2 linked regions of the Mus musculus genome follow. The protein of the gene in region 1 purifies or fractionates together with the protein of each later gene. This does not show direct contact. Links are inferred from orthologs where the notes say so. Each region holds a gene or a part of one and is shown on either strand. Other genes may lie near its edges.

What was found.
Region 2: the proteins of Slc31a1 (region 1) and Stx7 purify together in Homo sapiens (affinity purification with mass spectrometry; 3 studies listed by BioGRID and IntAct, counting the BioPlex papers as one, with this or other methods). This does not show direct contact. The link is inferred for Mus musculus from reciprocal best matches to the Homo sapiens genes SLC31A1 and STX7.

Annotation. Positions count from the first base shown.
Region 1 is NC_000070.6:62,385,188-62,393,667, forward strand, and holds the end of Slc31a1 (high affinity copper uptake protein 1), read left to right. Parts: intron 1-304; 5' UTR 305-344; coding exon 345-491; intron 492-903; coding exon 904-976; intron 977-2,679; coding exon 2,680-2,848; intron 2,849-3,410; coding exon 3,411-3,612; 3' UTR 3,613-6,582; downstream 6,583-8,480.
Region 2 is NC_000076.6:24,146,089-24,154,668, forward strand, and holds the start of Stx7 (syntaxin-7), read left to right. Parts: upstream 1-3,200; 5' UTR 3,201-3,320; exon of another isoform or gene 3,321-3,638; intron 3,639-8,580. UniProt on the Homo sapiens protein: May be involved in protein trafficking from the plasma membrane to the early endosome (EE) as well as in homotypic fusion of endocytic organelles. Mediates the endocytic trafficking from early endosomes to late endosomes and lysosomes.

The sequences.
Region 1 (8,480 bases):
GAGCAATTGCATTTTGTTAGTGGCTTATACTTATACATTATTACAAATTATCTATTTCCTGCCATCTGAAGGGGCTGGGTTTTTCTACCTTAAATTAAACACACACTTAATCTGTGTCTTAGAGGAGTAACTGCAGATTAAGGAACGAGATCTCAAGCCTTCAGGACAAGCCCTTGGTCCTTCTTCTCAAAGGTGATTCTTAGTCCAAGTTGCTGTGCGTCTAGGAGAGCTTTTGTTCATTTGGGCAAAATTCTGTGTAGACAAAGTATTTATCAAGAAAATTCTATGTTGTTTTTCTTGAAAGACTTTTCCACTGAATCTCATCTTTTTCTGGAAAACTGGCAATGAACCATATGGGGATGAACCATATGGAGATGCACCACCATATGGGTATGAACCACACGGACGACAACATTACCATGCCACCTCACCACCACCCGACCACCTCAGCCTCACACTCCCACGGTGGAGGGGACAGCATGATGATGATGGTAAGAGTCACACACTCGGGGGTTACCCAAGAGGGAAACCACAGCACGCACACACACATACACCCAGTGAGTCTAGAGACTTACCAGCGTTCATGTGGCAGGCTTGTTACAGAGTGACACCAAACCCAACATTTTCTACAATCCTTTCTTCCCTAATCCTTTTGAAATTCACCTTTTCCTGAATTAAATCCTAGTGTTTGGTTTGTGATACGTGTACAAAAGAGAAAGACATGAGATTGGGGGCGGGGCGGGGGGGGGGGGAGGGATGCACTCTTAGTGCCAAGGTGGTAAAGCCTCCCACTGCTTTGAGTACTTCTAATCCTGAGGTTACCTTTAACTGTTTGCAGACTCTTAGATCATTCCCATTAGGGTCCTCAGCCTTCTCTAACTGACTTGTTTGGTTTTCTGGCAGCCTATGACCTTCTACTTTGACTTTAAGAATGTGAATCTATTGTTTTCCGGTTTGGTAATCAATACACCTGGAGGTGAGTAACCATCAGATAACCTTCGAAGATGACAATGTCATGAGAGATGATGATGTAGATTTAGAAACCTGGCACCTCTCTGTTCCGTCACTGGGTCTGTATGGTTGTGCTACATAACATCACAATTCCTAGACCCTAGGCAGAAGAGGCAACACAGTTTTGCTCCTCCAGTGAGCTTCCTTTATGTATATGGTTTGGAGCACTAATATATAATTAAAATGCCAGATAAAGATCTTTTTCAATTCTTTTCTTGTTTGCTAAGTTACTGATCCTAGGCCTAAGACTATATAATTAAAATGCCAGATAAAGATCTTTTTTCTTTTTTTGGGGGTGGGGTGGGGGGTTAGTTGGTTTTTTGTTGTTGTTGGGTTTTTTTGGGTTTTTTGGGGGGGGGTTGTTGTTTTTGGTTTTTTTTTTTCTGAGACAGGGTTTCTCTGTGTAGCCCTGGCTGGCCTAGAACTCACTCTGTAGATCAGGCTAGCCTCAAACTCAGAAATCCGCCTGCCTCTGCCTTCCAAGTGCTGGGATTAAAGGTGTGTGACACCATTGCTAAGCTCCAGATAAAGATCTTTTTCAATCCTTTTCTTGTTTGTTAAATTATTGATCCTAGGCCTAAGACTATAAGCATACTCAAATATCACAGTATAACCCAAGGTTAAAAACTGAGAGGCAGAGGCAGGAAGATCTTTGTGAGTTCAAGGCCAGCTCATAGAGAGTTCAGGCATAGATGCTGCCTCCAAAAACAATAGTGTTAATCTCATAACTACCTGTTTACAGATAAACCTAAGCCTCGTGTAGTAGAAATGTTGTTCCCTGAATCACACAGTTAGTATCTCAGAGCTAAAACCAGGACCATACTTTCTAGAACTCTCTAAACCAGTGCTCTCTCTGCTGCATCAAATGATGGTTTCCATATCCCTGATGCTTGGCATATCATGGAGCCTCACTTCCTTTTAAGGTAGCTGTCATTTATCTTTCTGTATCTATCATAGATTGGTATGCTTTACATTTAAACTGCAGTTGCATGAGTTTAATAGGCACCTAAACTGCATTAGGTACCAAACTTATTTTGGAAATAACCTAGTTTGCTTTTGGGAGTGGAAGAGAAAGCGTTAGTCCTGTTAGTGTATCATATAAATACACTATAAATACATTTATCTTATCAATGCTTAGCTATATATGCATAATCCCTTAAAATGCCTATTCAAAATATAGAGGCAGCACTTGTAAAAGCAGGTTGTTTTAGCTGATGTGATAGTGTGCACCTTTAATCCCATTGCTCAGGAGGCCAAGATCAACCTGGGCTACACAACAAAGTCCTGTTAAACAATAAGACAACAGTTGGCTGTTCCTTCTTTCAGTATTCTGTATATAATCAGAAAGTATGATCCTGAGCAGAGGCAGAGACTGTTGTTAATGGCTCAGCTCCACTGAGTGGGTAGAAACACAACCATGCAGTTTATTCACAAACTGAGCCTGATGCTTTTTCTGTTTGGTTTGGTTTGAGTTATGCCTTGCCATGTAGCACAGGCTAATTGTGTACTTGTCATTTTCTGCCCCAGCCTCCTGAGCACTGGAATCATAGGCCAGTGCCAATGTGACCGACCAGCAGTATGCTCACTAAGTTTTGACTGTACCGTCACCTCTTCCTTCTTTTCTCTCTTCCTCCCCTCCCCTTTCCCGTCCTGTCCTTTTTTCCTCAGAAATGGCTGGAGCCTTCGTGGCAGTGTTTTTACTAGCAATGTTTTATGAAGGACTCAAGATAGCCCGAGAGGGTCTGCTTCGAAAGTCTCAAGTCAGCATTCGCTACAATTCCATGCCTGTCCCAGGACCAAATGGAACCATCCTAATGGAGACACACAAAACTGTTGGGTAAGAAGATGCAACAGATCCAAAGGGAAATTCTAGAGATCTCTTAGTAATGTAGTAAGGCAGGCCTTCTTCTTCCGGAGTTGGTGATTCTAACTTTAGAAGTTCCAGGTTGTGGGCTATGGTATTTGGGATCCTGCAAAAGCACATACACGTTTGTTCTATGTTGTAAGTGTCACTCTGAAAGAAGTTTAACAGTATCTGGTTTTTAAAATATTTGCTATGTAGTAATGGGCATTTTAAGATATAGTTAAGATATAAAAGAATGGCAGAATGCGATTGATTCCTTCCTGTCGAGTTAAATCTAATCAGATATGATGGATGCCGGTAGTCCCAGCACTTGGAGAAGGCTGGAGGACCAGAATTCAAGGCTATCCTTGGCTACACAGTGAATTTGAGACCAGCTTGGGCTCATGAGACCCTGTCTCAAGGAAAAATCAAAAGTTCTTTACAGATGTGTGCGTGCGGGCGTCAGTTTCCAGGATAGCCGTGCTGCAGTCCAGTTAGGCTGTTCTCCTGAGCTGCAGGTGCCCAGGTCTGACTCTCCTTCTCTGCTTATCCCCAGGCAGCAGATGCTGAGCTTCCCCCACCTCCTGCAGACAGTGCTGCACATCATCCAGGTAGTCATCAGCTACTTCCTCATGCTCATCTTCATGACCTACAATGGGTACCTATGCATTGCAGTAGCAGCAGGGGCTGGGACGGGATACTTTCTCTTCAGCTGGAAGAAGGCAGTGGTGGTGGACATCACAGAGCACTGCCATTGATATCAGACTCCACATATGGCCTTATTAATTGCTGTAGGAAGCATCTTGGGACTGGAAGATATGATTCCCTTTCCAATCATCCCTTCTCTCTCCTGTCTATACATACACACCTACTGAATAGAAGCCTAGCTGACAGTCTCTGAATAGTGGTTTTTCTAATAAGATGAGATTTTTTTCTCTTGGGAAGTCACCTGTGAGATGTCTTCTCCCTCATCATCCTGAGCCTTATCTAATCCAGGTAGCTTCCTAGTTAAAGACTTGGTTATCTGCTTCTTTTTACTTCTCCAGGTTTTGATTTGTTTTGTTTTGTTTTATTTGCGGGGGGAGTGGGATACATTTTGTTTTAAACAGATATGTGTATTTGATAGGTGGGATTCTGGGTCAGTGATAAAAAAGGATTGTAACAGGATTGATGGCACTTAGGGACATCTCATCCAACCGGGACTTAAATTTCACACTAGAAATGAGCTCCAGTCTTAACTCAGTGAATGGGAAACACATGTTCCTCTCTCCAGGTTACACTGAAACCTGTGTAGTGTGTACAGAGTGGGTAGGGACTAAACACAGGCCTAGCGTCTATGAGTCTGTATTCCTGCTCAGTCATCAACTTGTGTTCCTATTGAACATTTGATCAGAATGAACTTGCCAATCAAAACAAAAACAGGACAATCAATTTAAGACAACAGAAATAGAGATTGTTAAATAAAACCATTAGTATTTTACTTTGACTCAGTACCTTGGTTTGTCCCAACTGAATAAGAGTTTGTATTGTGTGTGTGTTCCTTGAAACCAATGATTTTCAAACTTTACAGCTTCAGAATCACCCAGAGGGCTTGTTAAGACACTACTTGGTGGACCTCAACCCCAGAACCACCAAATTTGGCATTTCTAAGTTCCTAGGTGATGTTCTACTCACAGTCAGTCCAGAGGATTACCTTAAGAGTCTCTGCATTAAACTAGAAAAGTTGCACCTAGAAGGGACAGAGGGTGGGGCTACCTGCTATCAGGCATGAACATGTGAATTGCTGGTTAGTAGGTGGTATGCCTTGGGCACATGTCACATCTAAATGCTGCTGGTCGATACTTTATCATTCCACAAACATTTATTCACTTCCAAATATGTTTTATGTATACCCACATACAGTGTGTGGGATTACAGCCAAAGTATACTTGTCAACATATACGAAGTCTCTAGTCCTAACTTTTAAAGATCTAAGGTTCCTTGGAAGTTATTTGAAGGCCAAGAGACCTTTGCTCTGCTGTGTGAGTCAGCCAGTCAAAAGCCCAGAAAGGCAAAAACCCAGCTTTCTTGTTTGGAGAGACATGGGGCATGTGTCTGCCAATAGCCAGTTGTTCTCAGTGTGCACTATGTAGGTCCCCATCCACTACTTGACCACCTTTATCATTTACGGGGATTTACATAGATTACAGTGGCCAAGACCCCTTTCTCAATGAAGGATCTCATTGGACGTCCTGTCAATCATTAATCTACATGCAGGCTTGTTCCCACACTACCTCTTTAAAGCGATTCTTCCTATGCTGGTCTGTTCAATCCTGCCCTCTTTGGTGCTAGATCCAGTTGTGCCTCAGAGCAGAAGAAACAAACCTGCTGTCTTGTTGGCCCAGTGTTTCAGTTTTGAAGTGTGTACTTTCTCCTCTGTGTGTGCCAATTACATATTAGAGAACAAGGAATGTGTACTTTGGTGGCTTTGAACCAAGAAAAGGTTTTAAGCCTACTGGATGGAGTCTAAAATTCTTAGAAATCAACTTTAGAGCTTTGCTTTTCTCTGAGTTCATCCTGCAGTGAATGACAGGTACTGACAGCCCAACATTAAGGTGCAAATAGCCTGTTTGTCATATCAGAAGCCATGGAATAATAAACCCAGGGGAATCCAGAAACCACACTTAGTGGTAACCCTGGTGCTCTCTAGAATCTCCAAATGAGCTGCTATAAAACACCTTTCAGGGGCTGAGATGCAGCTCTGGTGTGAGTCACTTACCTAGCTTATGTCAGGCCCCTAAAAGTAATGCATAAACTGTCAGAATCGGGACCTTATCGTTGAGGTGAAAAGAACCAAGGCCCGTAGGAACAAGGTGCTATGAATCTGAAACCAAGAGAAACCTCAGTTTGGCATGGTTCTTCAGGGTAGCTTCCGAGTAGAAATAGTCTGCTGCAAATCCTAAACTTAAGATCCCTGCGCTAGGTTGCTAGAGACTGCGGTTAGTGCAGAACAGAGGTAAGCCTAAGTCCCATCCTCATGAACTTCAATGCCCAGCCTTTGTGTTTATTTTATCTAAATGTCTCCTTTCATCTGTGGGAAAGCTATAGCTGAGTGTCTTTAGCCCCTGCCCTACTTTTCCCTCTCTGACTTTTTTCCCAGGTAGCTTAGTGTTTAACATCTCTCTCACCATCCTGATGCAGTAGCATGGCTATTGCTGAGGTTATTTTACCTAATAATTAGAACTTTGTATTTACAAAGCAAGTAGAGGTCTTAAATTTGCTTCAAGAAGCAGTTGCTCCACTGGAATTTCTATAAAGCTGGGTAAAGGGTTAGCAGAATTACAGATCTTAAGTACTAACTGCAGTCCAAGATGGAAGAGTACTCAGCAGCCACTGCCCTCATCAGGAACCTCCTCGGCATCCATCAGTCTCCTCACTGCTCCTGTGCGCAGGGCTGTCCCTCCCACACTCCCTTCCAGGCCGTGGCCTTCGCTTCCTCATTAGAATCAGGAGAGTGAGGCACAGTGTCCATCATGCCATTTAATCTTGTGCCTGCCCTTTCCAGCCTCTTCAAAAGATGCATCCAAACAACAGGTCTGCATTTGATGTAATGCCTTAATTACTGGGGCCACATTCACGTTGACTGTCTCAGAGACTGTAAGCTCCCGGAGAGCAGGGTTGCTGTAATGGGAATGTTTAAGTGTTGTGTGCAAGAAAACAAAATAAATATTTTGATTTTCGTGATTCTATGCATGTCTGTCTACACACTGTCCAAATAAGCTGGTTCTGGGACGTCAGTCTCCTCCATGGCATGGCCTTGTTGCTCTCCTGCCACTCTTAAGCAGACCTGGTGCCTGCCACAGGGTCAGCATGACCTTGTGCATAGCACATAGCAGCAAATATTTCAGTATAGGAGCGATTCTTAAGTTCAGAAACTAACCTTTGCCGCCTTTCATCCGTAGTTCATAACCCCTGTGTTCATGCCATTAGGCGGCAGCACTAGCTTCCAGGAGGCTCCCGGGCAGACTGTGCCCATCCCTGTAGCAGAGGGGAAGTATTACTGTTAGTGGTCTAACCGCTGGCCCATCATCACCTCTTCTGCAATGCTGTGGTAAACATCACCTTTGGGGACAGCTGGCTCAAATCTAGGCTACACCACATAGGAACTGCTATCCTAACTGTCTCAAAGCCATTGATAGTCAAGTGTGGTGACACATACCTGTCCTTCCAGTGTTTGACGTTGAAGCAGAATGATCATGAGGAAAGACCTGGACTACTTAGTGAAAGGTCTTCAGTTTGGGGGTTCAAGGGAAAACAGGTGAATTTTCCTTTTGGGCCAGAAGTTTATTAATACCATAAAAACACAGACAGCAGCATGAGCAGCTCAGAGAGCTCAGGCCCTAACACCAGTAAGTCTACCTCTGCTTTCTGTGGCAGAGAGAAGGGAGGGAATTCTAAAAGAATGTGCCACTCAGGATATAGGGGAAATAAGGAGGAGAGGTACATACAGATGGCAAATGTGTCCCACCGGAGCCCCTCTACTATCCTAGAGTCTAGCAACCTGGTCTGTAAGTCAAAGGAAATGAAGTATAATCCTGACACCTGGGTGTGGTGTTTACAGACACTCCACAGCTTCTGTCTCTCCCTGTAGCAGCAGGGATCTCGGAACCAGCTATAAAGATAGAGACAGAGAGGACTGCAGGTGGGTATAATTGCAGGTGGGCCTGGGATTCTGCACAGCGAGGGACTCTGTTGCAAAAACAAATGGCTATGGGTGTAGCTCAGTTGGTTGAGAGCTTGCCTCGTATGCCTTTCTAAGCTCTAGGTCCAATCCCTAGCATGCCCTGCATGTGCATACACACAAAGAAGTACTAGCACCTATTTAAATTAAGAGTAATACAGATAAGGCATCCCACACAAGACAGGCACCCAAGCCTTACTACATTTTTCCTGTGTACTGATTATATTACACCTGAAGGCTTCAGGAAAATGAAAGGTCACTCTTCTGAATAAAGTGACCTCCTGGGTGCTGGTAGTCCCGAAACAAACAGATCCTAAGGAACACAGCATTGATACATATAATTTAGGTATGCCCAAAAAAGATTAGCAATTGCAGTAAGTCCTGGTCTACTGATGAATAATTGTCTCATTCTGTTAATAAGAAAGCATAGGGCTGGAGAGGTGGCTCAGTGGTTAAGAACACCGACTGCTCTTCTGAAGGTCCTGAGTTCAAATCCCAGCAACCACATGGTGGCTCAAAACCACCCGTAATGAGATCTGATGCCCTCTTCTGGTGCATCTGAAGACAGCTACAGTGTACTTAGATATAATAATAAATAAACCTTTAAAAAAAAAAAAAAAGAAAGCATAGAAAATCTTGGAAACTTGAAAATAGGAAATTTTCTCTCCCCCACACACTGCTTTCTTAAAGACTCAGCTGAGACCACTTAGAGAGCAATGTAGTTGAGGCCATTAGGAGCATGGGATTGGAAAGCAGGTGGCTCCACAGCTCCCACTTCGTGGCTGAGCTCTGGTTCGCATCTGCAAACTCAGAATGGTGTGCCCTCTCAGGAAGTAAGAGAGTCGGCACTCAGCACTCTCATACAGCCCTCTGCACGACAGCTGTCAGGACAAAGGGCAAAACACG
Region 2 (8,580 bases), on another chromosome or scaffold:
AATCTCAACTATCAATTTAGTGAAATTGAGAATCACCTTGTAATAGGCCTTTGAGCATGCCTGTGGGAGACTGTCTTGATTTGATTAAGGGAGGTGGGAAGACCTGTCCACTATGGGTAACACCATTCCCTAAGCTGAAATCCTGGACCGGAGAGGTGAAAGTGAGGAGGGCACAGGCATTTGACAGTCCTTGCCACTACTGCCACTAGACATAATGTGACCAGCTGCTTCATGTTCCTGCTGCTGCTACGTCTTTGTCATGATAGATTGTAACTCAAAAATGTGAGTCAAAATAAAACCCTCCTTTAATTTGCTTTTGCCACAGTATTCATAGAGTCACAGGAAAAATAACTAAGATAATATGCTAACATTACTTAAAGGGTACCTAGGGAGTTACCTGGGATTAGGAACAATCATGAGGACATTAGCAGCTTTGAAGATTGCTGTCTTGTTATATGCTTCTTTAAACCTCAAAATGTCATATGTTTCATATTAAGTATAAAAACAGTCATAATGAAATATATTCAGAAATGTTGGATCAAATTAAGTCATGCTCATTTCTTTACTGAGCCATTAAATAGCCACTAAATAATAAAATACAGTACTACAATTGTCAGGAATGTCTTTGGGATCCATTTACTCTCTGAGCCTCTACGTTTAGCCGAGTATTATACTTAATTTTTCTCTTTGAATTAAAATGACTAGGAAGGAATCCAATTATTATACTTTTTAAAAAATGACAACTTGGAGCAATCTCAAAATTTGATTTGGAATGCCCAGCTTTGGCCCCAGTATAGCCAGTGACTAGTAGGACAACCTAGAGGTCTCTGAGTTCCAGGGCCCTCTCTACCCAGCCCAAGATTCCAGCAAGAGTGGTAGGGAAGGGCGTATGGAAAGCACGCTAGATATCAGGTCCATGTCACAAATCCTCTCTTTAGCTCTCCATACCCAGCTGTTGTACAAGTCTTCTTAAATATTTGTCACATTAACCTCACCCCTTCTCCATCTTATTTGCCTTAGTGGGGCCCTTCAACCTCTCCAGCCCTGATGAAGTTTTTTATGGAGGCCTGCTATTGTTACATTATGGGTATAGTATTGTTACATTATGGGCACGGTATTGTTACATTATGGGCATGATATTGTTACATTATTGCCTTTCTTCTTTGTAGTATTTCCCTTTAATTTTCTTCTCCCAGACTTTCCTATGTGGCAGGGAGTAAGAGAACTTAGTACCTTTCCTCAATATCTTGTAGTAGCTCAACTCCCATCAGTCATTTAACGTGGGACAGAGGCTATTTGCTTTAAGAATCTCATTTGCATTTTTAGGGTCTTGACTTTTGAGTTCACGCAACATGCTTTATCCAAATAAAGTAAACATTTACACATTATAAATTATACACATGAAAATAAACATGCACACTTCTTCTTTGGCTGAGATGTTCCTTTCCATGTTGTCTTCCAGTGAAACTTTTATATAACTTTTAAAAATTTCGTTCCTGTTTTTACTTCAAAAACCACTACTGACACTACAGCGAGGCAGTCATCTTTTGGGTTACCGCTAGGCTCTGTATAAATCTCCATCTCAGCATGTGGTGTCATGTGGAGGGTACCACTGCCAGATAGGAAAACACCATATTCTACTCAATTTGAAATCTGTAGTGCAAGGCTTGATAGTTGCTTCAGAATAGACTCTCAGCAGATATTAGTTGTCTGGATCCGGTGGCAGGAAGGATTCAAGAGTCTGGACAGGACACTTAAGGCTTTGTTGTTCCTAATTACCTGTGTGACTTAGAAGTGTTTGGTGTTTCAGGTTCCTTAATCTGTATTATGAGGAAACAGAACCAGATTTTCTAAAAGGGACTCTGTAGCTTTAACAGCTAACATGACTTTCTATTAGAGGTTATTGCCTTGTCAAAGAATGATTTTTAAAAATAAAACAATTTTGAAAAAGGGAGAGATTTCAAAGAAAAACTTGAATTTCCTCTGTATCTTGGAAAACATACAATGTCACTATGATGGACTAATACTTCTAAAAGTTCACAGTGGAGATGATAGGTAGAACTCAGGGGTAGATCAACTACCTGAAATGTGAGGCCTTGGGTTTGATCCCTCATTCCTCAAAACAAAACCACAAACAACCCGGGACAATGATACAGGTCTGTACTCTGAACGATGAGGCAGGTTGCAAGTTCAAGGTCTACCTGGATTACAGAGTGAGTTCAAGGTTAATATCTGGGTAACCTGTGTAGACTTTGTTTCAAAAACAACAACAACAACAACAAAAACCACTGGAGATAGAGGACAGAGTGAAGGCCTCTCATGTCCAAGGACCTTGGTTCAATTTCCAGTGCTGGACAAAACAGCAAACCTCAACAGTTCACCATGGCCCGAGCTGAATCACATGACTTTAAATGAGTACATGTTCTTTGATCCACTGGGTGGATCCTACTGAGAAGACGCTGTGTTTGAGTCTGACCTAAGTCATCTACGTATGCTTGCAGGTGTAAAACCAACCAACATACAGTTTGCTCTGTGGTTCTGATTCACAATAGTATGGATTCCCCCTACCTCCACTTGAAGTCTATCGAACTTTTGGTATCATGTGTTTTCATGCTCTTTCCAGAAATAACACCATCTTAATTATAGGCAAATCCAAGGCAATCTATTCTAATTAATTTGGCAAAGTATTTCTTTCACATGAACAACTGATGTTTCTCATCCGAGAGGTCACATGCTTGAAGAGTTATTGTTGGAACAGTGTGTGCTCTTAAAGCCTGGGAAAACCACATCCTGTATTTCAAGGATGCGATACCAACTATGAGCCAGGAAAACATCTTTATCAAGTGGGCATTAGGAGATTATCTTTCATTTATCCTTCCGGGGCTTTAGCTAGGATTGCCTTGACATTTTTGCAGTGACATTTTAAAAATGGAGTTGTCAAGTCTACCACAGAGCTGAGGGTTAGGAAACAGAACCTTTAAAAGCTGAGAGTGCTCCCTCAGTCCAGGGAGTCTGGCGCCTCCGAATAAAGAACCCAGCTCTTCTCTATTGTATTGCTTCCTCTTCTGTTGCCCATAGACATCACTTTGTCACCCATCAGAGCTTGGCTCCCCAGCAATTTTGCCAGTCCCTCCAAGCTTCAGCTGTCACTGGCCAATGGGAGAGACGCAAGCCCCGCCTCCTCCTTCCTGGGGCTGTGCCCCGAGCATGCGCAGTGGGCGTGCTTGTGCCGCCGCCCATCAGCTGAGACCGGCTGCGCCAGGCAGTGGGCCCCCGGGTGACAGCGGCTGGAGGTGGCCGAGGAAGCCGGCGAGGTCAGGGTAAGAGGAGACTGCAGAGGCGGGGGAGAGGGGGGCGGGAGGGACACCTCAGAACTGCAGCTCGCTAGTGGTTGCTTTGGGGTGCGCAGAGCGGGGCTCCCCAGGGCGCAGGGCCGGCGCCTCCCTCTCGGGCTCCCACGCCCCGCTCCGGACTCCGGGACGCGACGTGCGAGCACCGGGGCGCGCGGCAATGGAGCCTTGGGGACCGGATACTACCGCCAGATCCTGGCAGGCTACGACCGTGTTCCCATTCTCTGTCAACTTCTCCTCCGAAGAACAGAAAGGGAAACGCGATGGGCCCTGGTCATCTGGCCACAGGTTCGTTCCGCGGCCCAGGGCCTTTGCTTGGCTGTTGGCCTTACTCACACAAGCTAACTTTCTTTGACCTACCTTGTGCTCGTTTCAATTGATTTATGCAAGACACATAACAAGGTAACAAGGTATTTCGAGAATTCGCATATGTGTTTTCTAGGTTAAATTCAGACCAAAAAAAAAAAAAAAGCTTGGACGAGGGTGGGAAGAGGAAGGAAGCTTTACAGTCAAATGCTAATTTTTCCTTATAGCTGTTAAAATTTTGCTTGCATTTTATATGCATATATCAATTTTTGATTGCGTCAGATCTCGTATTTTGTCAGGAATTATTATTTACAAGTTTTCCACAATCAGGAAAATAAAAGGAATTAACTGTGAAACACTGGTTTGGTCCTGTTGGAGGTAGGCATTTCTTTTAGGTGTACTCTGAGCCGCAGTGAACAGAGATTGATAACACTGTTAAATTGTGCCTTGTGGTGCCGATGGGTCTTCGGCTTTGCAAGCTGCTTTCGAAGTTGGCCCCCAGGCTTGTGACTAGTTAAGAACGAGGCTGTAGTTTCCCAGTGTCTGGGGAAGTTAATAGAACACAGTATTAACTCACTGACCTCTGGGTTCTTTTCCTTCAGCTAGCTCACTTCTTATGCTGCTCCTGATTAACAGTCGTTTCTAATTCTGATTATTATCCCAAGTTCATCCATACGCTGCTGGTGGAAAATTATGAATAATTATGTTGAGCTATATGCCACTAAATGGTGTGTGCACAAGGCCCTGGTTCAGTCCCCAGTACTGCAGGGAAATATTACCTCTATGTCTACTAGTACTGCTAGATAAAACTCCCACAGTTAAGTCTGTGTGGATTTTTCTCTGGTTCAGTGTAACTTGAAATATTAATGTGTGAAACTGTGGAGGAAAAAAAATCTTGGTTAATTAAGCTGAAACCAAACAGTGTAGCGTTTGGATTGATGAAGGAGCTGGGCAAAGATGCACTTGTGGACCGAATACTCATATGGAAGATTGAGCACCCTCATGATTGATTGTCTCCTATGATTCCTCTCCTGTTTGTTTTAGGAATTGAAAACAAAGAGTGTGAATGCTCCCATCTTCTAAGTATGATGCATCGCTTGAAGTAGAAGTTACATTGATAGAGACTTCTCATTTCAGACCTGGCATCTTTAGTGTGTGATAACACCTTACTGAGACAAAGAGCTAGTCCTCAAAGGGGCTGGGTGTGTATCATGGAAAGGGCCATCTACAGATAGAAAGGGACACTGAGAAAAGCCCAGGTAGCAATAAGCCTGAAACAGTATTTTAGAAATGTTTATATTTACTCTTAGGCTGGGCATGTGTTCATAGGAAATCGGTACACTTGTTCATTCAGACTTACAACATTTATTCAGGATCTACTTTGTAGCCAAGTACTTAGAGAATAGACTAAGTCCAAGATTTACACTCCCCCACACACCACACATACACACACACACAAACACACACATACACACAGCACACACACACACCATACACACACTCCACACGTACACACCACACCCCACACACACATATACACCACACACGCAATACACTGCACACACATACCACACACACTCACACACCATACACACACATCATACACACCACACACACACACACACACACACACACACACACACACACACACAAAAATTAAAACCTGGGGAACAAAGGAGGAAACTCATATTTTATGCTGGGCTTCATGATTAAGAAAGTGAAACTGACCATTTGATTTGAGCAGGCTAAATTTTAAGCCAGTGTCTGCTCAGAGGAAGTCTTCAAGATTCTACAGTATGTCCATTAGTAACTACAGGGTAGTGTTTTACATTCAAGACTCTGTATCAAAATCCCCTTTGTTCATTTTTAAATTGCCCTTTCCACACAGTCTTGAGACAGCGCTCACTATAGGTGTTACTGTTTGACTCTCCCGTCTCCTCTTTCACCTTAGTGTTTATCTTCATAAAAAGATAATTACTGAGCTGTTGAGTTGAACCCTGCCCAGTAGTACTTTCTGTGGGGGATGAAGGGAATATGTGAGCTGTCCCAGCTGCTGGCCACTGGCCACATACAGTTTCTTAGCACTTGAAAGGTGGCCGAGGTGGCCTTCTTCTACCTTAGTTCATTTTGATAGTTGTGTGCAGGCAGTGCAGGTGCACATGAGGAGTGATGTAATTATTTTGAGCAAAGACACTAGGACACAAATGCTTTGAGTATTGCAGCTCAAGCTAGGCAATGCAGATGGTTATAGAGTACAAACATTTTATAAGCATAGAGTTAATTAGCTCACATGTAAAAACAGACTTCAGAGCCATTTGTCAATAACTGTCTATAAACATAAGTGTTTATTTCTTTCCAACAAAGGTAACCACTGTCCTGGTTGTTCTGTGTTTTATCTGAAGAGCCAACTCTTATCTTTTAAACGTCATCATAGCCTAACAGGACAGAAAGGGAGAGTGCCACTCAGAAGTGTTACCTCCATCCAGGCTTGTTTCCTTGATGTGAAGAAATTACCCCTGGGCCTGCAGCAAGGTAGCAAGTTTGGTTGTGTAGTTGCCCAGGTCCACCTGTGCTAAGTTGTTCTACAGAAGCAATGGGGTTTAGTCTAGTGTTTGTGACAATGTGAGCTTCCAGATTTACTTTCAGAGTTTAAATCCTCTGTTCATCTCAGCAATGCCTCCATTTCTTTGTGAAAAACTACAGTAGCAGTTATGCCTCCTGCAGAGCCTTTCGACATTGAGGGACACAGCCATAAAAGTCACCACATACAGGAAATTCCTTTCTCAAATTCCTGTTCACCACTCGAGACAGAACCGGGGTGGTCATCTCCATACCCCTTCTCTAGGTAGGTAAGCTACACATAGATGAAAAGGGGAAGCTCTTAGAATGGGTGAAGCCCACATGTCTCACCAACAGCCGCATCCTCTAGTTTGCTTGGGTACAGAGATGAGAACAGCTGGCTGTGCATGTGACTGTCTGACTTAAATTATGGGAAGAAAAAAAACCCTTTAAAGGAAAACACTGAGAAGCTTTGGACTATATGTGTATGAATTTTGAGAAGAGAAAGCTGGAATCCTTTGCAAGAATTAACGGTATTCTGACATTAGTCTCTGTGTGAGGGGTGTAGGTTCAGGGCAGTTTATGGCTGCATGCCTCTGATGAGAGCCCACAGGTGCAGGAGCACATCAGACCTGTCCTCTGTGTACAGTAACAAAGCACTTGGTCCCATTATCTTATTTTGATCTTGGCAGGAGGCCCAGATGCTAAGGATCTTGCCCAAGGTAGAGATTTCTGGTTGCCAGTTATCCTGGCAACTGAACAGTCAGGTGATGAGTTCTAGTAACTTCAAAGATATAGGAGAGAGGGAGGGAGGAAGGGAAGGAGAGGGAGAGGGAGGGGAAGGGGGAGGGGGAGGGAGAGAGGGAGGGAGAGGGAGGGGAGAGAGAGAGAGAGAGAGAGAGAGAGAGAGAGAGAGAGAGAGAGAAAACATTAAAGGTGTCTTTTGTAGGTAGAGATGTGAGACTTATTCGTGCCCATGGTTACAGGAGAAGTTACTCACAGGGTGTTGGTGTAAACTGAGAGCACTTTTAGAAGCCTGATGATGCCACTGATCCAAGAGAAAATTGTCTTTATCCATTTAGTATATTATTTGTCAATAAAAGGCATTGAGATACTCACAGATCCTACAAGGATCTTGAAAATACATAGAAGACAAACAAGTCAGTCACAGAGAAAACACACACACACACACACACACACACACACATACATATATAAAACATTCCACTCATGTGAAACATCTAGAATACAAAAACATACCAAGTGGATTAATGGTTCTAATGGCTGAAAGGTTGGGCACAAACAGGAGATGAAAAATGATGGGAAAGAACTTTCTTCTCAGAGTAATATGCATTATAAAAGTCACACATTGATTATCACAGACCTTTGTTATCACATTAAAACCATTGGATTATATGATCTGAATGGTTACAGTTGTATATGAATTATATCTTAATAAAGACCTGTTTTAAAAGGATGGGATTAGCAAAATGGCTCAGCAGGTAAGGGCACTTGTTCCTCAGCCTGATGACCTGAGGTTAGTCTCCAGGGCACACATGGTGGGAGGGGAGAAACAGCTCTGGAAAGTTGTTCTTTGGATGTGATAGGGTGTTTCCCAGAGGGAGGGAAACCGGGATAACATTTGAAATGTAAATAAAGAAAATAGCCAAGAAAAAAAAAAAAAGAAATTGTTCTTTGGTCTTGATGCACTCACAGTAGCATGTGTGTCACACACACACACACACACACACACACAATGTAAAGATATAATTGATTTGTAGACTGCATAGAACGTTGCCAGGGAAGTTGATGCTGCAGGCTAAAGCTTGAGTTTGAGATTGAGCACAAGCTAAGTGGCTCCTGTGCTGGGATTGCAGGTATAGAACATGACACCTAGCTTTTCAGAACTGCCCTACTCAGTTTCGCCCAGCTCTTTCCATGGCTGCAGTCCTAACTCAATGCTTCCCAGAAGGCAGCTTATTCCTGCTACACTGCCATCGGGGGCCAGCTGTTAGTTACGTTTTTGACTTTGCTTTTAAGTTGGTTGAGTCTATATCCTCGACCTGGTTTGTGTAGAGCAAGGACGGAGAGTGGAGAAGACACCAGAGCTCCTGAGACTGTCTGATGTCCAGGGACATCCCATGATGCGCAGAGCCTGCTGTACCAGCTCGGCTACTCTGTTTCCTCCCAGCACTGTCCCCCTGTGCCTTCCCTGCACTCGGGTTCTTTGTAGATTCAACCCAGCATTGCATCAAAAATGTCATTTAATTGTATCATGGTAGAACATTCATACATGTTTCTCTTTTTAGCATATTCCCTAAACAGTGCATTATAACAACTATGTACATAGCCTGAGACTTGAGCA